Macaca mulatta: one gene and its partner. The protein of the gene in region 1 interacts with the protein of each later gene in a pairwise test. Links are inferred from orthologs where the notes say so. Each region holds a gene or a part of one and is shown on either strand. Other genes may lie near its edges. The genes, in order: GMCL2 and CHCHD3.

Evidence for each region.
Region 2: the proteins of GMCL2 (region 1) and CHCHD3 interact in binary tests that used the Homo sapiens proteins (3 or more experiments, as listed by UniProt). The two-hybrid records come from large-scale screens. The link is inferred for Macaca mulatta from reciprocal best matches to the Homo sapiens genes GMCL2 and CHCHD3.

What each region holds. Positions count from the first base shown.
Region 1 is NC_133411.1:186,995,724-187,011,247, forward strand, and holds GMCL2 (germ cell-less protein-like 2), read right to left. Parts: upstream 9,389-15,524; 5' UTR 9,227-9,388; coding exon 7,655-9,226; 3' UTR 7,555-7,654; downstream 1-7,554. UniProt on the Homo sapiens protein: Possible function in spermatogenesis. Probable substrate-specific adapter of an E3 ubiquitin-protein ligase complex which mediates the ubiquitination and subsequent proteasomal degradation of target proteins.
Region 2 is NC_133408.1:172,771,319-172,787,418, reverse strand, and holds the start of CHCHD3 (MICOS complex subunit MIC19), read left to right. Parts: upstream 1-6,247; 5' UTR 6,248-6,330; coding exon 6,331-6,411; intron 6,412-16,100. UniProt on the Homo sapiens protein: Component of the MICOS complex, a large protein complex of the mitochondrial inner membrane that plays crucial roles in the maintenance of crista junctions, inner membrane architecture, and formation of contact sites to the outer membrane.

The DNA of each region.
Region 1 (15,524 bases):
GGACTGCTGAGTCACATCCAAGTAGAGCTCTCAGGGTGCCCCACATGCAGACAAATGCAGATACTCAAATGCTATCACTAACAGCTAAATCTGTTTTTTTGGTTGTTTTTTTTTTTTTGAGATGGAGCTCCGCTCTTGTTGCCCAGGCTGGAGTGCAGTGGCATGATCTTGGCTCACTGCAACCTCCACCTCCCAGGTTCAAGCGACTCTCTGGCCTCAGCCTCCCAAGTAGCTGGAATCACAGGCGCCCACCACCACGCCCGGCTAATTTTTGTATTTTTAGTAGAGGCAGGGTTTTGCCATGTTGGCCAGGCTGGTCTCAACTCCTGACCTTAGGTGATCCGCCCAGCTTGGCCTCCCAAAGTGCTGGGATTACAGGTGTGAGCCACCGCGCCCCGCCCAGCCAAATCTTAAGTAGAGCAGTGACACCCGAAAAAAAGGCAGTGGGCAGTCGGGTGCACTTCCGACCAAGTTACCCAGCTGGTAATGATGGTGGCTTCCCCTGCCCCCCACCCCAAAAAAAAGTAAACAAAGAAAGTTCACTTTCTTTGAACCAGAGAAGTATTGAAGGCAGCCAACGTTGTGCCAGAAGGCAAAAGGGAGATTTCCCACAAACAAAGCATTTTTGGCAGCTTCTGAGAAGTTCCCTAACATCCCCATCATGGGGTCTGCTAGCCACGAGCAGCTGATGCGCACAGGTGACCCTAGTCCTCACCAGTAATGAAAGCAGGTGGTCAAGCACAGGCCTACCCGGAGCACGCAGCACTTCCCAGTCCGGGCCACCAGAATTGCAACCCAATAGCAGGTGAGTTGCTTGCTGCATGCAGAGTTCAATTAGCAAAAGGGAGGTCTGATAGAAAGAAAGAAATTTATGGGCCAGGCGCGGTGGCTCACTCCTGTAATCCCAGCACTTTGGGAGGCTGAAGCAGATCACGAGGTCAGGAGATCGTGATCATCCTGGCTAACACGGTGAAACCCCGTCTCTACTAAAAAAACAAAAAATTAGCCGGGCGTGGTGGCGGGCGCCTGTAGTCCCAGCTATCTGGGAGCCTGAGGCAGGAGAATGGCGTGAACCCGGGAGGCGGAACTTGCAGTGAGCTGAGATCACACCACTGCACTCCAGCCCGGGCGACAGAGTGAGACTCCGTCTCAAAAAAAAAGAAAGACAGTAATTTATTATGAAGCTAGTTTAGGGGAAAAGGCACCACAAGCATCCTGCCTTTAAATGTGCCACTTGGCCTTTGGAGCAAAAAGCAGGCACTTTTAAAAAGCAAGGGAGAAAGTGAGCAAGATGGGGGTCTCTGTGAACTTGGTGCCTTCCCTGCTGGGCCACTGGGCTGGTGACTGTTGACATCTTTGTGGGGAAGCTGGTGTCTCTCAGGCAGCCTGCTCCAGGGTGAGAGTTCCTTACCGGCATGCTTCAGTTTGCAAATCAACTGTTAACCCTTGGTTTGTTCTGTCTTGGAGCCCATAGTTAGATAAACTTTCCCTGGGGGGAGTCTGGTGAAGGGGAGGTAGAAGGCTGTATTTGTATTTCTAAAAGGCTAAGTAGGAAACGGGGAAGGTGGGAAGCAAGAAGAGAAGAGAGAGAAAAAAAATAATTAAATCATTCCTTAGATAAAGAGAGGTACTTAGTTACAACTGCACTCCAGCCAGCATGACAGAGTGAGACTCTGTCTCTAAAAATTTTTTTTCAATGAAGTTTACAAATAAAAGTATATGTTGAGCTGGGCAATGTGTGCTTGTAGTCCTGGCTACTCAGGGAGGCTAAGATGGGAGGATTGCTTGTGCCCAGGAGTTCGAATCCAGCCTGGGCAACATATGGAGACCCTGTCTCCAAAACAAAACACAGAAAGAAAAAGAAAAGAAAAAAGATGATGGCTCACGCCTGTAATCCCAGCACTTTGGGAGGCTGAGGTGGGTGGATCACCTGAGGTCAGGAGTTTGAGACCAGCCTGGCCAACATGGTGAAACCCTGTATCTACTAAAATACAAAAATTAGCCGGGCGTGGTGGTGCATGCCTGTAATCCTAGCTACTTGAGAGGCTGAGGCGTAAGAATCACTTGAACCCAGGAGGTAGAGGTTGCCGTGAGATGATATCGTGCCACTGCACTCCATCCTGGGTGACAGAGGGAGGCTTTGTCTCAAAAAAATAAAAAGAAAGAAGAAAAAAAGTTGAAATTTATCAACTGCCTTGTTAGTAGGTATTGATAAGACTGGTTTCTTTTCTCATTTTATCTATTTATGTAATGAATTATATTAATTGAGTTTCTAATATTAAACCATCCTTGCCTTTCTGGAGTAAGTCCACGTGAATATCATTTTAAATTATATTAATGTGCTATTGGATTGTTGTTGAGATATAGGAAAAGCTAAAGTGTTTTTCCCAGTCTCTCACTCAACAGTCAACACATCCGTGACCCCAGACGTGTGTATTTTCCCTCTACACAGCAAGCAAGCAATTCTCTGTCAGACACCTGCTGCGTGTCTTCTAATTCAGTTTAACTCTGACACCATTTACCTGACGTTAGTGTCAGATCCCACACACTGAGGGCTCAGTCCCACAAGAGTGTCCCCCACTTCAGAGGTCAGTTGCAAGTCCAGACCTTTGGAACTTCTGACCAACTGGCTATACTTTGGGGTTCCCATGACCCCTCCTTAGATTTTATTAATTTGCTAGAGAAGCTCCTAGAACTCAGGGAAACACATTTACCCATTTACTCTAAAGGATATCACACAGGCCAGACAGAAGAGATGCATAGAGTGAGGTATGGAGAAAGGAGTGCACCAGGCTCCAGTAACCTCCACGTGTTCAGCCAGCTGGGAGCCCCCTGAATCCCGTTTTTTTTGTTTGTTTGTTTTAATGGAGGCATGATTGATTAAATCGCCGGCCAGTGATTTAACCTTCAGCCCCTCTCCCTTCCTGGGAGGTTGGGGGCGGGGCGGGGGGTTGGGGGGTGGGGCGTGGAGCTGAAAATCCCAGTCTTCAAAAGGTGCGTTGGTCTTTCCAGTGACCCGAAGCTACCTAGGGGTCCGCCAGCCAGCAGTCATCTCATTAGCATACAAAAGGCACTCATATGTCTCTGAAGATTCCTAGGGTTTTAAGTACAATGTGTCAGGAAGCGGAGAGGAAGACCATTTGTGGAGCTCGGGGAAAAGGCCAGATTGGAGAGAGATTTGAATCATTTGCTGGAATTTCATGCCGGGAAACTGGATGAGCTCACCTAGGGGCGGAACGTAGACAGAGAAGGCAGAAGACCCAGGACCAAGCGCTACAGTGTGTTCCAACATATTTCAAGGTTCATCCTCTGGGGGAAATGCTGGCAGCTGTGCGAACGGGAAAAGGTGCGCTCCAGGTAGGAAGCTCGTTTGCATAAAAAAAGGTTACAGTGGGGTGGACAATAAACGTCACACCTGGCCCAACCAATCTTTGGGCCTTATGTAAATCAGACACCACCTCCTCAAGCTGTCTATGAAACCCAGTGCATTTCACCACCTAACCAGAAGAGCTACTCAGGGGCCCCTGTCTCTCTGCAGGACAGAGCTATTCTCCTTTCCCTTTCTTTTGCCTATTAAACCTCCACGCTTTCTTTCTTTCTTTCTTTCTTTCCTTCTTTCCTTCTTTCTTTCTTTCTTTCTTTCTTTCTTTCTTTCTTTCTTTCTTTCTTTCTTTCTTTCTTTCTTTCTTTCTTTCTTTCTTCCTTCCTTCCTTCCTTCCTTTCTTCCTTTCTTCCTTTCTTCCTTTCCTTTCTTTCCTTTCTTTCCTTCTTTCTTTCTTTCTTTCTTTCTTTCCTTTCTTTTCTTTCTTTCCTTCTTTCTTTCTTTCTTTCTTTTCTTTTCTTTTCTTTTCTTTTCTTTTTTTTTGAGACGGAGTCTCGCTCTGTCACCCAGGCTGGAGTGCAATGGCACAATTTCAGCTCACTGCAACTTCTGCTTCCCGGGTTCAAGCAATTCTCCAGCCTCCGCCTCCCAAGCAGCTGGGATTACAGGTGCCCGCGACCACGCCCGGCTAATTTTTTGTAGTTTTAGTAGAGACAGGGTTTCACCATTTTGGTCAGGCTGGTCTCGAACTCCTGACCTCATATGATCTACCCACCTCAGTCTGTCAAAGTGCAAAGTGCTGGGGTTATAGGTGTGAGTCACTGCGCTGGCCTAGACGTCTACACTTAAACTCAAAAAAAAAAAAAAAAAAAGGTTCATCTTCTGAGGGGGAACCAGCAAAAAAAAATATGTATATAGAAAATTCCTTGGTAATGAAGAGGAAAGAGACACTAATACGTGCTGCAGTATAGCTGACCTTGAAAGCATTATGCGACGTGAAAGAAGTCAGACGTGAAAGGCCACATATTATATGATTCCATTTATGTACAATGTCTAGGCTGAGCGCAGTAGCTCATGCCTGTTATCCCAGCACTTTAGGAAGTGAAGGTGGGAGGATCACTGGAGCCCAGGAGTTCAAGACCAGCCTCAGCAACACCACCATATCTACAGGAAAAAAACCCTGCCATTCTTTACCTATGACGGTCTCAGTAAATTCCTTTACTGCCTATGACTCCAGCCACAGCCACAGCTGGCTGCACCCACAACCCCTAGGTCAGCGTAGCACTGGTCCCACTCATGAGGGGCCAGTTTTCACTTTTTTGGCAAAATGGAGAAACATTAATTGGGGCCAAGAGTGCCTGTTGGAAACCCATTTCTTGAATAGCATTCTTTTAAAAACAATTGTTTTTTAAAGACAGGGTCTCCCTCTGTCACCCAGGCTGGAATGTAGTGGTGCAATCACAGATCACTGCAGCTTCAAACTCCTGGGCTCAAGTGATTCCCCTCCAGAGTAGCCGGGACTGCAGGTATGTGCCACCATGCCCAGGTAATTTTCTAAAAAAAATTTTTTTTCATAAACCATAGTTTATACAATAGTTTAACTTACACTATTAACACTTTATTGAAAATATTCCTTTTTTTGTTTGTTTGTTTGAGACAGAGTCTCACTCTGTCACCCAGGCTGGAGTGCAGTGGCGCGATCTCGGCTCACTGCAAGCTCCGCCTCCCAGGTTCATGCCATTCTCCTGCCTCAGCCTCCCGAGTAGCCGGGACTACAGGTGCCCGCCACCACGCCTGGCTGATTTTTTGTATTTTTAGTAGAGATGGGGTTTCACTGTGTTAGCCAGGATGGTCTCAATCTCCTGATCTCATGATCCACCTGCCTTGGCCTCCCAAAGTGCTGGGATTACAGGCGTGAGCCACTGCGCCCGACCTATAGAAAATATTTCTATTGAAAAGAACATACTATGCAAACACTTAAAAGTATTTGGTAAGAAAACAAAAGCACATCTTTACGACCAATGTGAATTACGAACTGACAATGATCAACTTCTCAACTAAGAACATTAACCTACTTGTGATTGAAGAAATAATTATCCTGTCTATGGATGACATAAGCAACTTGGCCAGGACAGAAGCAGTGGATGAAACCACATAGAATTCCAATTTGGCCAGTTAACTTATATAAGTGTAATGAAACAGTTAACTTTATTCATTAATATACTCAAACACTATCACTATCTTTCCTTCCAAGATTTTCAAAAATTTAATTATCCAAATAACTGAAGTTTGGTATTTCTATATTTTTCAATACAAAAAGTGTCAGGAACCTTTTATACAGTAATGAGACGGAAAGAAAACAACAGCTTCCTGTGAAAGAGGCCTAATCTAGTCAAATATAAAAAGAAGTAATGTAACCTCTTTTTTTTTTTCTTTTTTGAGACGGAGTCTCTCTCTGTCATCCAGGGTGGAGGGCAATGGTGTGATCTCCGCTCACTGCAACCTCTGCCTCCCGGGTTCAAGTGATTCTCCTGCCTCAGCCTCCTGAGTAGCTGAGATCATAGGCATATGCCACCATGCCCAGCTTATTTTTATTTTGTATTTTTAGTAGAGACGGGGTTTCACCATGTTGGTCATAGCTGGTCTTAAACTCCTGACCTCAAATGATCCACCTGCCTCAGCCTCTCAAAGTGCTGGGCTTACATGTGTGAGCCACCATGCCCGGCTGACGCCCAGCTGAAATGTAACCTCTTGATAACAGCCAAATCACTGTATTAGAAACATTTAAATTCCAGCTTTGGGGGTCAAGGGTGAGGTATTTAAAATGTTCCTTTAAGTTAAACCAAGTGGATGAATTTTAAAAGAAAAAGCAATTTATGAACCTATGGACATATCATTAAGAAAGAAAAAAATTATTAGTAAATTCCAAAAGTTAAAAGGAGTTGGAAAAAATTCCAACTAGAAAGAAAAAAAATGTTGGTTTCAATTAAGGTTTTTTTTGGGTCCATTTTATATAAGAGCTTACTTATTCTTTTTCCAAATGTGCATTTATTATTTGCACAGATACATACAAATTATTCCCATTTTAAAAGCCACAATAAAAATATACATTAACCACAGAAGTACTTACTCTAACTGGAAAGAAAATGAACATGGCTATATTCAAAACAGCAATAAACACAAAAGGTCAACATATCTAAATCATGACAAGTATACATCTCAATTTTGACAAAAATGAGTTCCATTTTTACATTAATGCTTCATCAGCTTCTATATTAGATCCTCTGACCTTATTTATATTTACTATGAAATTTCTGTTAGCATGTGTCACTCAAAGGCACTCAACTCAGAGGGTGTAAAGTCCTGAGCTTAAGTAGGAAACAAAACTCCCAACTAAAATTTGCACACAAATAATTCCAAAGATCAGAGAGTATTAATGTTTAAAAGTATAATATCTGTTTTAAAAGTATTTAATGTTTAAAAGTATAATAATTTATTATAATATAATAAATATATAATAAATATATTTAAAAGTATAATAAATATTACATAATATTTATGTAAATAATTCAAAAACTAATAATAAAGGTGTACAGACTGTCAAAGAAAAGACCATGTAAGGCAAGAAATATCCTTGGAATCAAACTGATTTTTCACTCATTCAAGATCATTTGAAGGTGTGAAGCTAACTTTCATTGTTCTTAAAATCCTAGGAAAGCCAAATTTTAAAAAATAGCATGACAATGCTTAAGTTTAAAAAAGTTTCTCAGCTTAGTCTCCAAAACCAGGAAGAAAGCATTTAATGATTAAAAACACGTATGAACTGGAAAGATACCAGACTAAAAGGAGGAATCATAATAAGCCGGTTTAAAATATTAAAAGAAAGCTTTAAATGCACCAACTCAAAACAGCATTTCTAATTGGCCATCTAAATTATTCTTTTAGATTATTTTAGCCAAATAAAAATAAATTTACTGATGGATAACTGAGGTCCACTAACATAAGGTAGAAACAAAGTTTAAGCTAAAAATTAAATCTATATTTTGTTGCAGATAAATGTGAGATTTACCTACAGTAATTTTCTGCTGTTGCTAAATTAAAAGCATGAGTTGACATTGTACTAACAGAAATGGTTCGACAGATATTTTCTTGGCTTTAAAATGTTTTGTTCATATATGCAGAGAAATGCAATGAGGATAAGAATAATCTTCTGTATTGTCTGTACAGACATACCATCGTTAGTCACCTTAGATGTGAATATCAGTAGAGCCATTAAATTAAAGCTGGCCTAGAAAGTTTTCAAAGTGCTACTGTTTCCAACTGATGAGATCTTCAGTTTTCTGGATTTTCTGGGTGACGATTATTTTCAATTCTTTTCTCTGGCGATATATACAAGAAGTTACAGCAGATATATAAAGGGAAGGTCAGAAACCTGCTGTCCAAATTCATCACCACTTGTTCCTGATCCTTTTTAAGTATAAGTATTTGATAGCCAGTTGTTCTACTACATATTAGTTTTCCACTACTATCAAAAGAAGCCAAACGTAATCTAAATGCTATGCTCCTTTGAGGCTGTAAACTGACAGACCCGCTACATGGCTGATTCAGTGTATTGCGTTTGAAAATGATGCATCGATTGGTGTAAGTTACAAGTAGGTCAAAGCCGAAGTTAAAACCCGTCCAACACCAGCAGTATTCACCGTCTTTGGCAAGCTTTCTACCACACCTCATGCTATTTCCCTCCAGTTCTTCTTTATCGATTTCTTGAGGCCCTACCTCACTGTCTTGTTCGGCCCGCAGCATAGCAAACCACTGCTGTTTATACACAGAAGACAGCCATTCTGCAGGTACTATAGCATCTTGTTCAATAATTCTTGCAGAAGCCAGGTCACTGATAATATATTGTAACCTTAAATGTCTGAATACTGATACAAATGGTTTTCCTTGTTCAGTTTCAAGAAAGGCCATATCTTCAAAATCTTTTCTCTGTTTGGAAAACCAGACATCTGTTTCTGTCAAAAGCTGTTTTAAAGATCCATTCCAAGAAGGCACAAGTTGAAGAAACATCCACTTTTTTAGAGCGGTGTATACATCCATCTCCACTTGCATCACAAATAAGTTAGATGAACCAATGAGCTGTTTCATGACATTTATACTGAGTTCTTTAAAAAGTTTAACATTCTGGTGAGTCATCAAATTATTTAGAAGCCATTCAAGGCACTTTTTCTTTACGGAATCTAATCCATAGGTCCCTACTGATGTGTAATAGCCACATACAGTTTTCACAGTAATTGTCTCCTTCATCGTCTCACCACACTGCTGTATTAAACCATCCAACTGCAGCATACAAGCGGCTGCCAAAATGGCAACAACTCGACTGGGCTTTATCAGCACGTCATCTCGATACAGTGAACCAAACGCAACCTGCAGCGCTTCTACATCAATGTTCTGGTCAGGAATCTCCAGTTCAATAATATTCATGCTGGATTCTTTCCAAGAACCACTGAACATACTAGAAAAGTAGCCAGACTGACATAAATATATTTTGTGTAATCGCCATTCTTCTCCTAGAGCACAAATCTTAATGTCACTGTCTTCACCATTCAAAAATAATGTTTGATAAATATATTTGGATGTACTCCTTAATTTTTTCCTTGCAGGGATGTGGAGGAGAGGCTGCTGCTCGTCCCTCTCCTCCTCATCCTCGTCTCTCTCCGAGTCAGGGCGACAGTAGCGGAAGGCCCCGCTGCTCTTGTGACTGCCCGGGCAGTAACAGAAGCCGTAGCCCGCTGCAGGGTCTCCAGGGTCCGGCCTCCCGGCCAAGCCCCCCGCCCTGGCACCCTGCTCCTGCTGGGCAAGGGCTCGCCTCGGCTGGCGCAGCACCCGGCTGCTCGACGATCCCATGGGTCGCGGCTCCCGGGACTTCAGGGAGCCCGGAGGAGGGGGTGTCCCGCCACGGCCCGGCCGCCGCCGCCAGCCTTCCCCGAGCGCAGGTGCCTGCACCGCCAGCTTCTCACGCGCAGCCCAACCGTTGCAGCGGACGCTGCCGCCTCCATCCTCCGCACCCCTCCCCCACTACAGATATGTATATATTTTTGGAGACAGAGTCTCGCCCTGTCGCGCAGGGTGGAGCACGGTGGCTCGATCTCAGCTCACTGCAAGCTCCGCCTCCCGGGTTTAAGCGATTCTCCTGCCACAGCCTCCTGAGTAGCTGGATTACAGGCTCTCGCCACCACACCCGGGTAATTTTTGTAATTTTTTTTTTTTTTTTGAGACGGAGTCTCGCTCTGTCGCCCAGGCTGGAGTGCAGTGGCCGGATCTCAGCTCACTGCAAGCTCCGCCTCCCGGGTTCACGCCATTCTCCTGCCTCAGCCTCCCAAGTAGCTGGGACTACAGGCACCCGCCACCGCGCCCGGCTAGTGTTTTGTATTTTTTTTTTTAGTAGAGACGGGGTTTCACCAGGTTAGCCAGGATGGTCTCGATCTCCTGACCTTGCGATCCGCCCATCACGGCCTCCCAAAGTGCTGGGATTACAGGCTTGAGCCACCGCGCCCAGCCTTTTTTTTTTTTTTGTAGCCAGAGTCTGGCTCTGTTGCCCAGGCTGAAGTGCAATGGCGTGATCTCGGCTCACTGCAACCTCCACCTCCCGGGTTTAAGCAATTCTCCTGCCTCAGCCTCCCAAGTAGCTGGGATTACAGGCGCCTGCCACCACGACCGGCTAATATTTGTATTTTTAGTAGAGACGGGATTTCACCATGTTGGCCAGGCTGGTCTCGAACTCCTGACCTCAGGTGATCCGCCTGCCTTGGCCTCCCGAAGTGCTGGGATTACAGGCGTGAGCCACCGCCTCGGGCCTAAAAAAACTTTTTTTAGGGTGGTCTTGAACTCCTTGGACAGCATTCTTCATTGCTGGAAGCAATTCTCATCTGGCAGCCAAAACCAAGGTCCGTTTTAGAAGCACCACTTCCCCAGGAGCAAAGGTTTATTTGTGGGACCCGACAAAGGCAAATGTGTGTGCCAGGTGCTTGAGCCTAACCAGTCCAATGTAAATTTGTGACCAGGCACGAAAATAAAATAAAATAATAAAATAGGCCAGGCTCAGTGGCACACACCTATAATCCCAGCACTTTGGGAGGCTGAGATGGGTGGATCACTTGAGGTCAGGAGTTTGAGACCAACCTGACCAACATGGTGAAACCCCATCTCTACTAATAATATAAAATTTAATTGGGTGTGGTGGCGCACACCTGTAATCCCAGCTTTTCAGGAGGCTGAAATGGAGAATTGCTTGAAACCAGGAGGCAGAGGTTGCAGTGAGCCAAGAGCTCGCCATTGCACTGCAGCCTGGGTGACAAGAGCAAAACTCCGTCTCCAAAAAAATAATAAGATAAAATAAAGAGTTGAAGTCAAGCCAGGCATGGTGACTCACACCTGTAATCCCAGCACTTTAGGAGGCCGAGGTGGGTGGATCACGAGGTCAGGAGTTCGAGACCAGCCTGGCCAATATGGTGAAAATGACCATGGCTGGGTGGAGTGATGACTGCAGCTGGTCTGGGAAGGCAGAAGCAAGCAGAGGGCCAGGGCAGGATGGGCAGGGATTCTCTGCGGGGAAGATCTGTGGAGACGGGGCAGCAGGATTAGGATGTTAGAATCGAGGAGGCTTTTGTCCCTGGGGGATGGCGTGGAGAAGCGGGGCATGGGCCTGGAAATTTGGCCTGCAGCCTATCCTCACCAGGCCATCTGGAAGCTACTTGTTGGGAACCCTGTGTGTGTAAAGGGCTGACCCAGGCCCAGACCCGGGGGAGCTGGAAAAGGGCACACACGGAGACCACCTGAGAGGCGTGCTGGAACTGCTTGGCCAGTCCTGGGGGACGGGATGGCTGGGGCGTGTGGGTGTCTTCCTGCAAGAAAACAGGACTTGATGAGGAAGGTGGGAGGCTGTTTCAGGCAGATGGAGGTCTGTGCTGCTAGAGCAATGGAGGAGTCACCACCATGCGGGGCTCCACCTTTGTCGCAGTGGGGGCAGAGATTGGTGAGGGGCATCAGGGCCAGATACATAGGTGTGAGGAACCCTAGATGGACCAGTGCTGCAGGGGGAGGTGGTGCCATGCCAGGGAGGTGGATAGGATGCTGGACACAAGTGAAGAGCAACCAGCCCTGGTGGCTTCCTCAAACCTGCGTGAGTGCCTGCCCCATTCCCAGATGAAGAAAGCAGAGGTTTCAATAGGAAAAGTGACTTGTCCTAAATCCCAGAGCTGCAAAGTCAGGAAGTTCAGCCTCCTGATTCCAAAGGCAAATCTGGAGTTTCTGTTGGAGTTAAGGGGCCAGGTGAATGGTCTGTGTTAACAAAACAAACAAACAAACAAAACTCTGTAAAATATTTAAAGAAGTTTATTCTCAGCTGATGTGAGTGACCATGGCCTGGGGTACAGTCTCAAGAGGTCCTTAGAAAGTGTGCCTGAGATGGTTGGGTTACAGTTTGGCTTTATACATTTTAGGGAGACAGAGGTTACAAGCAAATACATCAATCAATACATAGAAGGTGCACATTGGTTCGGCCTCTAAGGGCAGGACAACTCCGGGGGCTTTACAGGTCATAGGTGATTCAGAGGTTTTCTGATTGGCAATTGGTTGGAAAAGTTAAGCTGTGTCTAAAGAGTTGAAGTGGCTGGGTACAATGACTCACGTCTGGAATCCCAGCACTTTGAGAGGCTGAGGAGGATGGCTTGATCCCAGGAGTTTTAGACAAGTCTGGGCACCACAGCGAGACCTGGTGTCTACAAAAAAATTTTAAAAATTACTTGGGCATGGTGATGTGTACTCGTAGTCCCAGCTACTCGGGAGGCTGAGGCGGGAGGGTTACTTCATCCTAGGAGGTCAAGCCTATGGTGAGCCATGACTGTAGCGCTGCATTCCAACTGGGGGGACAGAATGAGACCCTGTCTCAAAAATAAAATAAAATAAAATAGGCTGGGCACAGTAGCTCACACCTGTAATCCCAGCACTTTGGGAGGCCATGGTGGATGGATCACTTGATGTCAGGAGTTCGAGACCAGACTGGCCAATATGGTGAAACCCCATCTCTACTAAAAATACAAAAATTAGCCAGGCATGGTGGCAGGCATCTGTAGTCCCAGCTACTTTGGAGGCTGAGGCAGGATAATCGCCCGAACCTGTGAGGCGGAGGTTGCAATGAGCCAAGATCGCACCATTGCACTCCAGCCTGGGCGACAAGAATGAAATTCCATCTCCAAAAAAAATACTAATAATAAGATAAAATAAAATAAAGAGTTGAAGTCAAGCCAGGCATGGGGGCTCACGCCTGTAATCCCAGCAGTTTGGGAGGCCGAGGAGGGCAGATCACGAGGTTAGGAGTTTGAGACCAGCCTGGCCAATATGGTGAAACCCCATCTCTACTAAAACTACAAAAATTAACTGGGTGTGGTGGCAGGCATCTGTAGTCTCAGCTACTCTGGAGGCTGAGGCAGGAGAATCGCTTGAAACCGGGGAGGTGGAGGGTGCACTGCACTCCAGCCTGGGCAACAGAGCAAGATTCCATCTCAAAAAAAAAAAACAGAGTTGAAGTCAGTGGGAAGAAATGCTTAAGATAAGGGGGTTGTGGAAGCTGAGGTTCTTGTTACGTAGATGGCCTCCAGGTAGCAACCCTGAGAATAGATAGTGAATGTCTCTTTTCAGACCTTCAAAGGTTTCAGACTCTCATTGAATCTCTCCTAAATCTGAGAAAGTCCTGGCTGAATTAATGGAAATTCTCTACAGATGCAAATTTCCCCCACAGGAGACAGCTTTGCAGGGCCATTTCAAAATATTGTCAAATAAATATATTTTGGGGTAAAGTATTTTGATTTCCTTCAGGGTCTGCTATCTGTTATGTGATGTTGTACCAGAGTCAGGTAGAAATTTGGCATCTTATTGCTATAAAAAGCCTGTTTTGAGCCGGGCATGGTGGCTCACGCCTGTAATCTCAGAACTTTGGGAGGCTGAGGCGGGTGGATCACCTGAGGTCAAGAGGTCAAGAGTTTGAGACCAGCCTGGCCAACATAGTGAAACCCCATCTCTACTAGAAATACAAAAAATTGGCCGGGCGCGGTGGCTCAAGCCTGTAATCCCAGCACTTTGGGGGCCGAGACGGGCGGATCACGAGGTCAGGAGATCGAGACCATCCTGGCTAACACAGTGAAACCCCGTCTCTGCTAAAAAATACAAAAAACTAGCCGGGCGTGGTGGCGGGCGCCTGTAGTCCCAGCTACTTGGGAGGCTGAGGCAGGAGAATGGCGTGAACCCGGGAGGCGGAGCTTGCAGTGAGCTGAGATCTGGCCATTGCACTCCAGCCTGGGTGGCAAAGCGAGACTCCGTCTCAAAAAAAAAAAAAAAAAAATACAAAAAATTAGCTGGATGTGGTAGTGGGCGCCTGTAGTCCCAGCTATGCAGGAGGCTGAGGCAGGAGAATCACTTGAATCCGGGAGCCAGAGGTTGCAATGAGCCGAGATCATGCCATTGCACTCCAGCCTGGGCAACAAGAGTGAAACTCTGTCTTAAAAAAAAAAAAAAATCTGTTTTGTGTCTTATGATCTCTATTTTATTTATTTTAAAAATAATTTATTTTATTTTTGAGACAGAGTTTCACTCTTGTTGCCCAGACTGGAGTGCAATGACGCTATCTTGGCTCACTGTAACCTCCACATCCCAGGCTCAAGCAATTCCTGTGCTTCAGCCTCCCAAGTAGCTGAGATTACAGGCATGTGCCACTATGTCCGGGTAATTTTTTGAATTTTTTGTAGAGATGGGGTTTCATCATGTTGGCCAGGTTGGTCTCGAACTCCTGACCTCAAGTGATCCACCTGCCTTGGCCTCCCAAACTGCTGGGATTACAGGAATGAGCCACCATGCCTGGATAGAATAAATATTTTATGCTTTGGGCCAACAGGCAAAATCGAGGGTATTAAGTAGGTAAGTACGTAACAAGAAATAAAACAAAATTCCATAATTTGGGGGGATTGTTATTGACAGAACGTAAAAGTTAATTTATGGATGCTGAAAGTGGAGTTTCATACAATTTTTATGTGTTATGAAATATTATTATTTTGATTATTTATTTATTTTTGAGATAGAGTCTTGCTCTGTTGCCCAGGCTGTGATCTCAGCTCACTGCAACCTCTGCCTCCCAGGTTCAAGCGATTCTCCTGCCCCAGCCTCACAAGTAGCTGGAATTACAGGCATGTGCCACCACACTCGGCTAATTTTTTTGTATTTTTAGTAGAGATGGGGTTTCACTATGTTGACCAGGCTAGTCTTGAACTCCTGATCTCAAGTGATCTGCCTGCCTCGGCCTCCCAAAGTGCTGGGATTACAGGCATGAGCCACTGCACTCAGCCTGATTTTTTTTTCAATGATTTAAAAATGTAAAAATCATTATTTGTTCAGGGATCATATAAAATCAAGCAGTAAGCAAAATTTGGGCTATGGGCAATAGTTTGCCAACCTCTGGTCTAGATCTGCCCTGTTCATCATAGTAGCCCCTGGCTACCTGCAGCTACTGAGTACTTGAAATGTGGCCAGGGACACTCACGATGGCTCACACCTGTAATCTCAGCACTTTTGGAGGTTAACGTGGGAGGACTGCTTGAACCCAGGAGTTTCAAGTTACAGAGAACTATGATTTCAACACTGCATCCCAAACCTGGGTGACAGGGAAAGAAAGAAAAAGAGAGAGAGAGAGAGAGAGAGAGAAGGAGGAGGAAGAGGAGAAGGAGAAACAGAGAAAAGAAAAAGAGAAAGAAAGAAGAGAAAGAAAGAAGGAAAGAACATAAGAAAGAAGAAAGGAAGGAAAAAGAAAGAGAGAAAAAGAAACAAAAGAAAGGAAGAAAAAGAGAGGGAGGCAGGGAGAAAGGGGGGAAGGAAGGGAAGGGAGGAAGGAGGGAAGGGAGGGAGGAAGAGAGAAAGGAATGTGGCTGTACTGGATTAAAATATGCTTAGGTGTGGCCGGGCACGGTGGCTCACTCTTGTAATCCCAGCACTTTGGGAGGCCAAGGTGGGTGGATCACGAGGACAGGAGATGGAGACCATCCTGGCTAACAAGGTGAAACCCCGTCTCTACTAAAAATAATACAAAAAATTAGCCGGGCGTGGTGGTGGGTGCCTGTAGTCCCAGCCACTGGGGAGGCTGAGGCAGGAGAATGGTGTG
Region 2 (16,100 bases), on another chromosome or scaffold:
TTGGGAAGGCTCATATGATGGGAAGATCCTCTGGTAAGGCTGTATGTGCCCCAGAACCTAGGAAGTGTTGTACGGCTGGGCCTCCAGAAGCCCAGCAGCTTAGACAGAGCCGGCCATTATAAAGACTACAGTTGCAAGGACTTTCTGAATTCTAGACATCCCTAGAAGCTTCTGGAGTCCTGGGTCTTCACATCAGTGCTCTGTATTTGTGAGGCTAAACTAATTTTTTTTTTTTTTTAGAGACAAAGTCTAACTCTGTTGCCCAGGCTAGAGTGCAGTAGTGCAATCTCAGCTCACTGCAATCTCCGCCTCCCAGGTTCAAGCGATTCTCCTGCCTCAGCCTCCCAAGTAGCTGGGATTATAGGTGCCTGCCACCAGGCCTGGCTAATTTTTGTATTTTTAGTAGAGACAGGGTTTCACCATGTTCTCCCGGCTGGTCTCAAACTCCTGATCTCAGGTGATCTGCCCACCTCAGCTTCCCAAAGTGCTGGGATTACAGGCATGAGCCACCGCGCCCGACCAAGACTAAACTAATTTTTAAGGGCTTGCTTTATGTTAGTCTCCCATTTAAACTGGCTTGTATTTCACTATTACAAAGCTGCTCATGGTTTTCTTCTTTTTTTTTTCTCGTTTAAAATAAAAAAACAAACAATTTGGACTTTAATGATAAATAATTTCTATCATGTTTAAATAACTATAAATTATTTTTCAAAAAAATTTTTCATACGTTATCTTAATAACTATACATTCTTTAACAGCTTTGCTTATTTATTTAGAGACAGGGTCTTGCTCTGTTGCCCAGGCTGGAGAGCAGGGGTGCATTTATAGCTCATGGTGGCCTCCAAGTCCTGGGTTCAAGTGATCCTCCCATGTCAGCTTCCAGAATACATAAGACTACATGTGCAAACCACTATGCCTAGCTAATACTTTTTAATAGTGTTATTAATACATAATTTACATGTCATAAAGATCATCCGTTTAAAGTGTACAATTGAATAAATTTCAGTATACTTATAGCATTGTGCAACCATCACAATCTAATTTTAGGCATTTTTATCACTCCTTCAAAAGAAACCATGTATCAATTAGAAGTTACTTTACATCTCACCCCCTCCTACCCTCTCTAAGCCTAATCTTCTTTTGTTTTCCATAGACTTGCCTATTTTGAACATTTCATTTAAATGGAATTATGCAATATGTGGCCTCTTGTGTCTGGCTTCTTTCACTTGGCATAATGATTTAGAGGTTCATCCATACTGTAGTATATATCAGTACTTTCTCCCTTTTTATTACCCAGTAATATTCCATTTTCTAGATATATTACATTTTGTTTTTCCATTCATCAATTAATGGACATTTGAGTTGTTTTTCATACTATTATAAATGGAATTGCTCTCTTTGTTTCATTTTTGGCTTGTTAATTGCCAGTGTATAGAAATACAATTAATTTTTTTTTTTTCGTGATGGAGTCTCACCTGGGCTGGAGTGCAGTGGTGCCATCTCCGCTCACTGTGACCTCTGCCTCCCGGGTTCAAGCAATTCTCCTGCCTCAGCCTTCCCAGTAGCTGGGATTACAGGTGCCCACCACCATGCCTAGCTAATTCTTGCATTTTTAGTAGAGACGGGGTTTCACTATTTTGGCCAGGCTGGTCTCGAACTCCTGACCTCAGGTGATCTGCCCGACTCGGCCTCCCAAAGTGCTGAAATTACAGATGTGAGCCACTGTGCCCGGCTACAATTGATTTTTGTATGTTGATTTTGTATCCTGAAAACTTGCTGAATTTTTTTTTTATTATTTCTAATTAGTTTTGCAGTGGATTCTGTAAGATTTTTCTATTTGTAAGATCATGTCATCTTTGAATAGAGGTAGTTTTACTTCTTCCTTTCCAGTCTGCATGCCTTTTATTTTTCTTGCAGTTTCTTCTTCCACCTATCTTTAGTTTGCCATCATTCTTCATGGTACAGACTCAGTGTTATAACTTCTCTTATTGGTATCTTTTTGTATACTCTGAATTTTCTAGTTTAAATTTGAGAAAGTGAATACAGAGACAGAGAAAAGGGAGAAAGACACAGAGAATCTGAGTAGCTCAAGTGTTAGCTATTATTTTTCTTAGGGCAAAGCTTTGCATTCTTTTCTCTTTTCTTTCTTTCTTTTTTTTTTTTTTTTTTTTTGAGATGGAGTCTCGCTCTGTCACCCAGGCTTGATTGCAGTGGTGCGATCTCAGCTCATAGCAAGCTGCGCCTCCCGGGTTCATGCCATTCTCCTGCCTTGGCCTCCAAAGTAGCTGGGACTACAGGCACCCGCCACCACGCCCGGCTAATTTTTTGTATTTTTAGTAGAGACGAGGTTTCACCATGTTAGCCGAGATGGTCTCGATGTCCTGATCTCGTGATCCGCCTGCCTTGGCCTCCCAAAGTGCAGGGATTACAGGCATGAGACACCGCGCCCGGCCAAAGCTTTGCATTCTAGTTCATAGGTATCTGGCTAGTAAATGCTGCATTTGGATTAGATGACCATTAATAAGCTGTAGCCAGAAAGAAAGGAGGTCACAGGTTCGCGTAGCTCAAGAAGGGATTGCATAGACATGACTGGCCTGGAAATTGACATGGATAGAACAATATTGGTAGAGAAGGCTTTTTTTTTTTTTTTTTTTTTTTTTTTTTTTAAAGATTGCATTGAATTTTTTTTTTTTAAACTCAGAAGGCATCTTTGTAATGTTGGTTAAAATGCATTAGGATGTCTAAAATATTTTTGGATTGTCTGTTTGATAAGACCACTTATATGTTTTTGTATCATAAACAGTGAAGGCACTCACCTATCTTCTCATGCTTAGTATTCATCATCTTTAATATATTTGGTTGAAAGAATTCTATTTAATATTCTAAGGAGATAAATATATTTAAGACAACTAGTGGTTCCTTCATCTCTCTATTCTCTCCAAGAAACACTTTCTTTGTACTTGGTTATTTTGGCAAGTGCTTGTTGAGCATATATTTTATATGGAACCTCCGATATGCCCTATATATTGGGGTAATAAGTGAGAGTGTGTTTGTGGAGGGGAGGGTCCCCCAAAAATGAAAGTCATAATTCCTGGGAGCTCTAGTTCCCAGTAGAAGAAAGAGTTAGGCTGGGCATGGTGGCACATGCCTGTAATCCCAGCACTTTGGGAGGCTGAGGCAGGAAGGTTGCTTGAGTTCAGGAGTTTGAGACCAGCCTGGGCAACATAGTGAGACTGCAGCCAAGTGTGATGGCACACACCTGTAGTCACAGCTACTGGGGAGGCTGAACTGGGAGGGATTGCTTGAACCTGGGAGGTTGAGGCTGCAGTAAGTGGTGCTTGGGTCACTGCACTCTAGCCTAGGCAACAGAGCAAGACCCTCTCTCAAAAAAACCCAAACAACAACAACAAAACAAACAAACAAACACAAAGAAACTTGAGAACAAGTACGAAGTAGCACGTAGTCTCATAACTGCAAAGTAACATAGTAAAATTTGAAAATAATATAATGATGAGATGTAATCAACACTCTGCTACTGACCAGGGATATAGAGATTAAAAAGACATAGTTTCTGCTCTAAAGATTCATACAGTAAGGTTGGGCGCGGTAGCTCACGCCTGTAATCCCAGCACTTTGGGAGGCTGAGGTGAGCAGATCACAAGATCAGGAGATCGAGACTGTCCTGGCCAACATGGTGAAACCCTGTCTCTACTAAAAATACAAAAAAAATTAGCTGGGCGTGATGACACGCGCCTATAGTCCCAGCTACTCCGGAGGTTGAGGCAGGAGAATCGCTTGAACCTGGGAGGCGGAGGTTGTAGTGAGCCGAGATTGTGCCACTGAACTCCAGTCTGGCGACAGAACGAGACTCTATCTCAGGGAAAAAAAAAAAAAAAAGATTAATACAGTACTAGATCAGCACATAATTGGATTCATACAGTAACAGATCAGCACATAATTGAAGCTCAAAAATGTGACTCCACTGTAGATGTCTTTGGCGTAAGAGAATGCCACAGTGTGTTGTGGCCCACTGCTTTTAATGTTGAGAGGGGTTAATAGAAGAACAGTACCATCATTAACCTGATTTCTACTGAGAATCATCTGCCTCTGTAAAACTAAGGTCATATGGCTAAACTTATATGTAACAGTGTGTTTAGCAAAAAATAAATATGTAAATGGATAACCTAATAACTACGTACTGGTCTTGTAGAGGTGAAATGTTGAACTATTAATAGAAACTTTCCACAACAGATCATCTCAACTTTTCTGACGTAGTTTTAATTCCTCCACTAATTTATGCTGTCTTTGTCAATCACTTACTTTTCTCTGCCTAACTCTATTATGGCCTAACTTATGTAACTGAACTAGTAATAGGAGACACAAAAGTGGAAAGTAAATCCTCTGCATATTTGGTGCAAATAATTTATTCTCTGAAGAAATGTATTTTCTCATTGGTTTGAAAACCACAGCACTTACAATTTTACTTTACAAAAAGAAAAAAAATACAGATACATAGTTCATGAGATAAGGGACAAGGACCAAACATACGTTCACTTTTTTTATTTTATGGCTACGACTAAAATGTCACCATTCATGTACTGCATAACAGTGTTTCAGTGAAAGAAAAACCTCATTTCTGACGGCAGAATCGTAAGATTATAACGGAGCTGGAAAACTCCTGTCGCCTAGTATTTACTACACTATGCTTTTTATCATTAGGTTAAAGTGCATTCTTTCTACTTATTAAAAAAAAGTTAACTGTAAAACAGCCTCAGGCAGGTCCTTCAGGAGGTATTACAGAAGGTGCTGTTATCACAGGAGATAGCTCCATACGTGTTATTGCCTCTGAAGACCTTTCAGTGGGACAAGATGTGAAGGTAGAAGACAGTGATACTGATGATCCTGACCCTGTGTAGGTCTCGGCTAATGCGTGTGTTTTGGTCTTAATTTTTAACAAAAATGTTTAAAAAGTAAAAAAAAATTTCAAAAATAGAAAAAAGCTTATAGAATAAGTATATAAAGAAATATTTTTGTGCAGCTATATAGTGTCTTTGTGTTTTAAGCTGTTACTAAAGAGTCAAAAAGTCACCAAAACGAGAAGTTTATAAATTTAAGAAGTTCCAGTAAGCTAAGGTTATTCTTGAAGAATGAAAATATTTGAAAATAAATTTAGCGTTGCCTAAGTGTACAGTGTTGATAAAAGGTACAGTACTGTATAGCCATGTCCCAGGCCTTCACATTCAACTCACCACTCACTCACTGACTCACCCAGGGCAACTTTCAGTCCTGTAAGCTCCATTCATGGTAAGTGCCCTATAGAAGAGTACCATTTTTTATCTTTGATTTTTTTTTTTTAAATGAACTGCTTTAGAAATTCATGTGTCATCCTTGCTCTGGGGCCATGCTAATCTCTGTATTGTTCAAACTGTCCTAGATGTGTTGCCAAAGCGAGCACTTTTACACTGTTTTTTACTGTACCTTTCCTATGTTTAGATGTATTTGGATACACAAATACCACTACAGTATTTACTACAGTAACATGCTGCACATCTTTGTAGCCTAGGAGCAATAGGTTACACCAAGTAGCCCAGGTGTGTAGAAGGCTACACCATCTGGGTTTGTGTAAGTACACTCTATGATGTTTGCACAACCACAGACATCACAAAGTCACCTGACGAGGCATTTCTCAGAAGTAGTCTTCATTAAGCGACCCCATGACTGTAATGAAATGCTAAGTTTTGAGCCAGGAATTTGTGTATAGAACACTAGGAATGGCTTAATTAGGATCATGCATCTTTCTCATTAAACTGTGAGTCCCTTTGAAAGACAGATTATGTCTCTGAATTCAGTGGCCTAAATTTCTAGAATTATGTCTTCCAAAAGTTGCCCAGTTAGGCGTCTGGGGAGTCAAAACCACAACTCCCAGAATGCCGTGCTCCCTTAGCGCGCTCAGGCGCGGGGAGAGAATGTCCCAGCACCCATCGCGCCAGATCGGGACCACAGTTCCCACTACACCTAGGGACTCCGGGGAAAGCTTATCAAACACCACCTGTTGCCATAGCATCCGGGTCGGGTGAACCAATCCGGGCGCCCTCGCCGAACAGAGGCGGGCAGTTCGCATCTCCGACCAACCTGAGGTGTCTTTGTTGTGGCGCGTGACCGGAGGAGGCGGGAGCTCAGGACCGGCGCCTTCTCCTTGCTTCTGGGGTCGTGGCCTTGCTCCAGCTGTGCGGGAAAAGAGTCCAGGCCCTTCCACGCGCGTGTGGGCGCGGGGGCCCCGAAGTGCTCGTGGTTCCGCGCTAGGTCTCCGCTGGGTCAGGAACCGGAGCCATGGGTGGGACCACCAGCACCCGCCGGGTCACCTTCGAGGCGGACGAGAATGAGAACATCACCGTGGTGAAGGGCATCCGGGTGAGTGCCCGTGGACGGGCGGAGGGCCAGTGCTCGGACTCGGACCCCAAAGCCCCATCTTCCCCGGACCTGCTCAGCCTGGTTTCTCCCGTCCCGGCCCCTAGTGTTGTACGGCCAGAAGGCCAGATGTCTGGGAAGAAGCCCAGAGTTTCAAGACGTGGGACATTCATTCAGAGATAGTTGCTGGTTGTGTGCCAAGTGCTAGGCACTGCTGGGGCGGGCGGGGAATGCCAGGTTGAATTATACCCTGCAAGGGCTCACGGTCTACTCGTAACTGTACTGCTCACTTGTTGCAGGACCGTATTTGAAACTCAGTGGCTCAGTGTACCTGTCTGTGAAATGGTTCTCCAAACTCTGCTTTCCCACTGTTCACACCCTGTCTCCCAGGGTGAATTGGCATTTTAAGGATTGCCTTTGTTTTGTGTCATTTAGTGTTCTCCGTCTGATAACACCCCCTCCTCCCACCCGCACCCCACACCCTGTAATCCTCCCTCCCACCTCCACAGTCTTTTCTGGCCTGCCTGGGGTGGCTTCTGGCTTCTCCCTGCTTCACTTTCTCTGATATCTCCTCTTTCCCAGGCGCCTCCTCTGTGACCTGCTGCGCCGAAGTTTTGGACTAGGCCCAGTTGCTTCAGGACTAGTGTCTGCCAGTCTGATAGGGGCTGAGATAGGTTTGCAGTTTTTCAGACCAGTAGAAGTAATGTAGTCATTTCTGACCAACGTTGCAGAGTACTTTTTTTTAATGCCCTTTGCATGCATCTGATACATAAACTGAAAACCTGGTTTTTCTCTAGGGTGTCAGTATACCAGCACTAACTTCATTCACACACTCTCCGCTGCGCCTGAATTTGGAGCCTCACATTTTTGGACGTATGATGCCTGCACCTAGTAAATAAAGCAATTTTGACTTCAGAAAGTTTTATAATAATTTATATATTTTTTTCTGTTATCAACCGGCGTAAATAAATTACATTTGTAAATTATCTTTAACAGTTGTTACCAGGAAATAAAACTTCTTAAATATTTAAAATGTTTTCAAACTTTTTCTTCTGAAACTATTACCTTGAGAATAATTTATTAAACTTTTCTTTATAGAAACTCAGACTGAACTCAGTTTTTGGTTTGTGACCAGTCTTTCTTTATATCATACTAATTAATGGTAGTACTACATTTTGTAATAAAATATCTGGGGCTGCATTCTTTGAGTTACTGTGGTTCAGTTAGTACTCTTTGGAGTAAAAAATTACTGTAAACTTTTAAGTTCTATGCAGAGATTTTAAGACTTGCCATTAGGCCTTCGGTATGCCACTCAGGGTGAAAAATAATTCAAAGACAAAGCAAAATAAGTTTTGGGTGAGAAGACATTGGTTAGAAAAAAATGTATAAATCCATATTCTTATGCTTTAGTACAGACACAGTGCTAACAGCAAACAAAATTGAAAGAATGTGGCCACAGCACAGAGATTCATATCAAACATTAGATAAGGTTGGATGGAATAACTGTGACAGCAGGGATATGTATTCTATTAAAATGGGAAAATTGTCTAAAAAACCTTTTTAAGATTTTTGTTTTTTAAAAAGAAATGTCCTTTGGTCATATAACTTGATAGCATTCTTCATTTGTTTTTCTTTCTCATATAGTACATTTTATCTGTATTGCTACAGTTCAGGCATGCTCATTTTGACCTCTGTGCTTTTCTTCAGAATATACCCTTCACCTGGAATGCCCTTGCGCTGGTCTCCATTGCTTCAGATCTCCTTTTACATGAATGTTTTGCAATCTCCCTGAGCTTCAGTTTTCTCATCTGCAAAATAATGGGACTGAGTACATCTCTCAGATCTCTGTTGTTTTCCAGTCCTGAAATCCTCTGAGTCTGGTGGCACTGTAAGTTTCTTGTAGCCATACTTAGCCTGTTGCAGTTTCCTGTAGAAGTGACATCCATTGAAGTATTGGGTACACAGAGGTCATTCTGATTTCTTTGAGCTCATGATAGAAAGAGTGTCAACTTATAATTAAACAGACAGTTTAAATCTCAGGTTAGATATTTATTACTTAACTTGATTGCCTGTGTGGGTTTTGTCTTGGTCTTTTGTAAATGTTTTCAGTTGATCTTAGTATTTTTCTTGGCTTGAGTTAAGCAGACATCCGTTTAAATCGCAGGTTAGGTATTTATTAGCCTGTGGCCTTTGACAACTGACTTCTTCTCGAATTATTTCCTTATGCATAAAGGGTAATACCATCACTTCCCTTGACTGGTTGTAAGAAGATGAGGTAAGGTATGTAAAGCACCTGGCACATTGTAGGTTTTCATTAAAAAGGCAGCCATTATTATGATAGGGTTCCTTTCACACGCAAAGTTATAAGAGTCTTTGAAAATGCTGTGCCGTGTAGTGGAAAGAGCATGTGCCTTGGAACCAAGCAGACCTGAGTTGGATTCTGTCTCTGCCTCTCACTAGCCCTGTGGCTCTGGACAAGTCACTTTTCATCGTGTTTCCGTATTTAGTATTTCTGGATAAAGCAGCCTACTTTGAGAATTTGACATAATGTGTATCTAGCACAGTGTCTAGTACTTTGACAGTGTTTGCACTTGTGAGTAGTAGCTGTTATTAGAGCTGTTCAAAAGAATGGACACGTGAACTTATGTGAACTTCAAATTTTAAAAAAAATAAGAGCATGTTGTGCCCCAACAGGTGTACCTAAAAGGGTATGGACTGGGAAATGGGAGTCTTGCATTACGTCCTAATTGAGGGTGTTTTTTTGTCTAGGTCTGTTGTAGATGGTTTTTATTTCTTTATATTTTTCTTGGCTTTAAACAGTCACATTGTTTCCTTCTGAGACTTGGGGAAGGATAAGAAACTGCATTCTCAGTATGTACATAAGTCACTGTTTTTAGCTTAGTTTGTTAGAACATGGTGCCGATGAGGCACCAAACTTCAGTTTTGAACTACAGTTGGGTTAGTTCAACTTGGCTGAAGAAAACTTTCCAACTTTGCCCAGTTGTCTAGCATTTATGTCATTGGTTGTAAGAAATGAACGTTTACCAAGCTTATTAATTCAACAGAGTCAGTCACTACTGGAAAACTAATTCTGTGTTCTGTTACACCGTTAAAGATAGTACAGATGGTCTCCTATTAGGATGGTTCGACTTAGAATTTTTTGACAGTGGTGTGGAAGTGACAAGCGTTCAGTAAACTCAGCTTCTGGCATTACCTTCAGCAAAATCCATTGTAAACCAAGGAGCGTCTATAATTTCATCTTCATTTTTTTTTTTTTCATATAATGACTTGGGTTCATTCCCTTAATATAAATATGTTGGCATTTATGAGCTTTCTTTGAGTTGGAGTCTCCCTGTGTTGCCCAAGCTGGTCTCAACTCCTGGGCTCAAGTTATCCTCCTGCCCCACTCTCTGGGACTACAGGCATGTGCCGCTCCACCAGGCTCAGTCATCACTTACCTTAATGTATAAAGAATAACATTTAGTGAACAACATAAGGCTTTTGGTAACTATGCTGAATATTTATTTATTTGAGATGAGTCTTGCTCTGTCGCCCAGGCTGGAGGGCAGTGGCACGATCTCAGCTCACTGCAGCCTCCGCCTCCTGGGTTCAAGTGATTCCCCTACTTCAGCCTCCTGATTAGCCGGGATTACAGGCATGTGCCACCATGCCCTGCTAACTTTTTTGTATGTTTAGTAGAGGGGGGTTTCACCATGTTGGCCGGGCTGGTCTCAAACTCCTGACCTCAAGTGATCTGCCCACTTTGGCCTCCCAAAGTGCTGGGATTACAGCTGTGAGCCTCTACACCTGGCTGAATTTATTAATAGATTGTGTTTCTCTATATTGTTGAGGTCCTTAATTATCTATGAAAGGACCTACTTCAAATTTTAAGTTTAAAGTTTCTTCTCACCTACCAGGTGTTATTTTTCATGGTATTTGTAGGGTCTTGTTTTTTCCCTTTATCCTTAGCAACTGATAGCTTTTCTTTCCTCTTCCGTAAAAATAACCTGTATTTTTGTGCCTGATTCCAACTTTGAATCTGAAACTACTCATATGGATTGGATGAAAGGTCAGTCTTTTGCCTTGCCCTCTTCCCAAGGCTAAACGAAATTCCTAGAGATGGAAAGACGAAGCATTTTCATTACTCGTATTACATGTGGTTGATAGGATTTTTGTGGGCACCTGCCGTGCCTGCTTGGAAAGTGTGCTTACAACTCAATCTTTCGCAAGTTTATCTGAAACATCAAAGCTGTGAGTGAACTCTTCTAGAGCAAATGTCAACTTCAGTGAGTATCATTTTCAAAGATATATTTATGCTTTCCAGACATAAACGAATGTCAGCAGCTGGGCCTTAAAGTTGCAAGCTGAAATTAACAGGAGCCAGTTATGGCAGTATGGATACTTAATATGGAACATAACTCATGCTTTGGGAAGTGTTGGCAGTTGAGAGACTGTAAATGAAGAGATTACTTAATATGGGGTATTATTGAGGATTCTGTAGAGTATGTTATCAGAGACTACAAATTGGGTCAGCCATTGGGAGTGTTGAGGAATATTGTATAAATAATTTAGTTAAGTAGTAGATGATTCGTTTCTTTCAGCTTTAGATTCTATGAAGTTTTTGGGCTGAGTACCATCTTAAGTTGTCTAGGATTTTATAAAGGTAGAGATAATGGTTTCTACTAATGACAAATGTAAAGAAACACAAACCTAAGCTAAGAATTACATATTTCATATATATCTATGAACGTGTATGGGTTCCCTCTCCTCCTTTCCCTTAAGTAACTATTTGGGAGTAATTTCTCCCACATAATAGTAGCAGTTTTTGGAGCCTATGTCTTAAAAAGGTAATGGTAAAGCAAACTAATACAGAAAATGACTTATGCTAAGTGGAAGGAGGATCAAGAGAGAAAAATGGGTCTGAGTTCTTGAATCAATTTGCTAGGACATATCTGGAAGAAGATAAGAGAAACTTCTGGAGGCAGGAAGCTGATTTGTTTGTCTCATGTGGCTCGTAACTTTACCTCTTAGAAGGGCCACTGGAGAGTTCCTCTTTTTTTACTCTCTTCCCTGGGAGTAGAAATACTTTCTGTTTGTCCATCTCACCCAATCTCCTGTTTCTGAGAAAATTCTGTCTTCTGGATTGGTGGGTGGTGTTTCTGGCATGGATTTTGGATAAGACCAAACAAGTTGGGTAGGAAGAGATGAGTGGGAAGACTGTAGGAGATGACACTTGCCCTTTCCCCCTCTGTGGAGCACGTTGGTGTGGTGAGTACTACAAATTTAAACTTGGCAAGCTCTGTTTGCCTAAATTTGTCTTTAGGAGCAGTAGAGAATAGGGTGGACAGTCAAGTTTAGTGGGCTGAATATCGGCAGATGTGCTTCTCTTGGTTGCCTCTTATATTAGAATGGTGGTTCTTTTAGTTTGTAGAGCACTGTGGATCTGTGAGCTGTGGATTCTGGCCAGAACCATGCAATAAACTGACAATTTTGCATACAGTTGAGTAATTGATCCACGGACTACTCAGTCTGTGGACCTCAGGGTGTAATTCCCAGTGTCAATGTGTGTGGGGGTTATGTTATTTCACTATTCTTTGCTACAAATAATTTCTGTAAATTGCCCTTGGTATTTGCCTTGATGCAGATTCCAGAGATGTCTGGAAAGCAAGTATAATAGGTATAGGTTATTATATAGGAAAAGGCTTTTTCTAAAACAAGTGCCCTGTTCAGGAAAAGATGTGTTTCCTGAAGATACTTTTTTTTTTTTTTTGAGACAGAATCTCGCTCTGTTGCCCAGGCTGGAGCGCAGTGGTGCGATCTTGGCTCACTGCAACCTCCGCCTCTTGGGTTCAAGGGATTTTCCTGCCTCAGCTTCCCAAGTAGCTGGGACTACAGGCGCGTGCCACCACGCCTGGCTAATTTTTTGTATTTTTAGTAGAGACGGAGTTTTACCATGTTAGCCAGGATGGCCTCGATCTCCTGACCTCATGATCTGCCTGCCTCGGCCTCCCAAAGTACTGGGATTACAGGCGTGAGCCACCGCACCCAACTGCAAGTTACTTCTTACACAGAGGCTGCCATTGCAGAAGCTTATGTTGTACCATCAACCCCCATTTTGGGTCATTTTTCATCACAAAGATGAGTTGTTCTACAGCTACAGATTGTGTGTATAACCCGGGTCAGCATCTCTAAAGCTTGTCAGCTGCTTCACGAGTGAGTACCCCTGTTCACAGAGGAGATGAGGTGAGTGTGCAGGTCTGAACTTACTACTGCAATGGGAAGGTCAGCTCAGAGAGCATTGACTTTGAATACAGATGATAACACAGCAAGACTATTGCCTCATAACTACATTGCTGTGAGCAGACTGGGAATAGGGTAATAGTGCTTGGAGCTGGCAGAGGTGCAACTGTAGATGGCCATGGGTGCTGCTTTGGAAGGGCCTAAGGATACAGTTGTTGAATGATTGTAAGAACAAGAGAAAGGTGGACTCTCAATAAGGCAACCCTACAGTATGTTTATGAAGCCTACAGTAGGTTTAGTGTATACTCCTTTGGCGCATGCTTATAAATTGACTGAACAATAACCAAACACCTCACTGGGAAATGTTTTGAATTGATGTGAGAATTTGACATTAAGTAGCAACTTGGGACATCAGAGAAGCCTCAAAAAGAAAAAAAAGTTAACAAGAAATTAGTGATTAGGTTGAAAGAGACATTCTACTTCCACTACCCAGAGAACATAGATAGAGAAAAATGAGCACCTTCTCCACCCATACCAGGACTTAGGCAGCTGCTGCCTGCAATAGCTGTAGGCCTAGTCCTCATGCACCTTACAGAGGAGGAGTCAGTACAAGCTCAGACCTAGTTGATAAGAATGAACCAAAATGAAATAAAAAGTCCCTGTGGCTGGAGCTATATGGGTAATAGCTGTAGCAAATATTTGTGTAGTCAATTATAGTTTATGGTGCAAAAGACTAAAATCCCTCCACAAAATCTCTCGGGATAAATATTTTCACTTTTTCAGATGAAAATAGTAACTTTTCAGATGAAAGCTTATTGCTAACACTTGATTTTTGAGATTTATATATATTATATATCAGTTAAAATAGCTTTAAGATTCTAAAAATGAAAGCTCATTTTTTTCTCTTTAAGAGGAAGTGATATATTTTTATTACATGCATGGGATTGAAGGAGTATGTTATTTAATAGTAGAGCATTGGACTAGAGATTGGGAATTACTGCTTCTGGTCTTGATGCTGCCAGTAACTGAATGTTACTCAGGGTCTCTTTTTTTTTCAAGTGTAAATTGAGTCAGTCTTAGAGGGATTTTCCTAGGATGTATCTCAGCTTCGCACATGAGTTTCAGCAACATACCCAGTGGCTGTCAGTTGTTGGAAAGATGCAGCTGGCCCTGGCATTTTCAAATAGAAAGTCTTTGTGTCTTCCCAGAAGGGAGTTGTAGTTTTTTCCTTCAGAGAGCACACACAGCATTTGATCTGTAGCCTTTCTCTTTTCCATCTCACTTCCATTCTGGTTTGGGCCCTGAGATAGAAGTAACAGTTCAGGTATAGGCTATTTAGTTTATTGATGTATGACAGGACCTTGATTAGTACTTGGCCTGGGAGACATCTGTTGAATGAATGACTTAGTATATAGGAGCTTGCAGTCTAGTGGAAAGGCAGAAAGGTGAATGTGGAAAGGCTAATACCTGTTCTTTCATTGAGACTGTATTGGAAGTTTGAGAAAGGAACAGTGGGTACAAGGAATGGTAGCTTTAGGTAGGCAGGGTTGGGATGGAGTGGACAACTGGTTTGATCAGTGAAGGCTTGGATGTTTAGACTGGGTCTTGAAAGGTGACTCCCTCCCAAGGGGCCAGGAGAGAAGGCAATGTAGGCATGTGCAAAGGCAAGGAGATGGGTGTAGAACAGGATATGAAATATTAAGGAAAAAAAACTAGAATTTGAGGTTGGAGAGTTTGGCCATCACCAAATGATGAAGTCTTGAATGCTGTACAAAGAATTTGAATTTTTCTGTAAACAGACAGTAGCTATTGAAGAATTTGAAGTAGAGAGTTACCATCATCACATTTGCATTTTAGGCGGATGGTAGCAGGAATTAGGGCAGGAGAAATGGGATGAGAGAAGAGAGGAATTTATTAAATATTTAGGGATTGATGAAGTCATGGCTAAGAATGAGAGAGAAAGAAGAGTTGAGAACAAGCCCTATGTTCGAATTTAGGAAGCTGGGTGTTTGTGGTGTCATTAATGAGGTAAGGAAGGCAGGAGAAAGAAGAGATTTGTGGCAAACGTGAGTTCAATTTTGGACACTGGGTGTGAGGTGCTTCTGGATTGCCGGAAGGAAGTTTTCATTAGACAGTTCATTGTGGAGACCGGGCTTCTGGGATATAGGTCTCAAGCTCGAGCGAATGCATTTATTAATGGAATTTATTAGTTTATCAACAGCAGTTAGAAATCAAGAGATTGGATGAGAGTACCAGTACAAGAGCACATAGAATAAGAAGAGAATAAGGGCAAAAGACAGAATGTTGGGCCCTTCAGCATTGAAGTGTAGGCAGGAGAGGGGAAGCTGCAAAAGAGATAAGATGTGGCCAGAGTCCTCGGAGAACCAGGACAGCAGGATGTCAGAAAAGCCAAGGGAGGACTTTCCAGAAGAGGGGAATGGCCAGAGGTGTTAGATGTTAAAGGTAAGCCATATAAATAAGATGTTTTATAAATATGAAATACTTAATTACGTAAATATCAAAAGTTATTTATTTGGTCATTGGTGACTTCTACCAGAGGATGTTCACTGTTGCACTGAGGGTAAAAACCAGATAGTGGTGAGTTCAGGAAGTGGAAATGGGAAGAAGACCCTTGATACAGGAGGAGGATCACTCAGTTACTTGAAATGGAAATCCTGGGCTCTTCCTTGATGACTTCTGCTTTACTCCCACATCTACTCGGAGATTGGGTAGTGATGCTGAGGGATGTTTGAGTGGGATCTTGAGACTTAGACTTTTTGGGTTCGAATCCTTCCTCTGCTAGTGATAAAGTATCTGATCCAGGGCCGGTTATTTAATCTGGCTGTGCTTCAGTTTTTTTGCCTGTAAAATAGAGATATAAAAATATCTATCTCATAGGCCTGTGAAGGAGTAAGTAAGTGAAGTGCCTAGCTTAGTGTAGCGCCTGGCACATAATAAGCACTCAGTGAATGTTAGTATTTTAAATCCTAAATACCTTTTAAGTGTGTTCTCCCTTGGATTACCATAATAGCTTTTTTTTTTTTTTTTTTAAAGCTTATTAAATTACTGTAGAGTAATTTACATGCCATGAAATTCACCTATTTTAAGTTTACATTCCAACACTTTTTTTTTTTTTTTCCGAGATAGGATCTTGCTCTGTTGCCCAAGCTGGAGCACAGTGAGTGTCATGATCACAGCTCATTGCAGCCTTGACCTCCTGGGCTCAAGCGATCCTCCCTCCTCAGCCTCCCAAGTAGCAATTCAACACTTGATAAATTTACTGAGTTGTGCAAACATCACTACAAGCCAATTTTAGAATATTTTTTATCATCCCAATAAGATCTCTTGTGCCCATTTACAGTTAATCCCTATTCCCACCCCAGCTCTAGGCAACTACTTATCTCCTCTATAGGGATGCTTTTTCTGGGTGTTTCATGTATTTCATATAAATA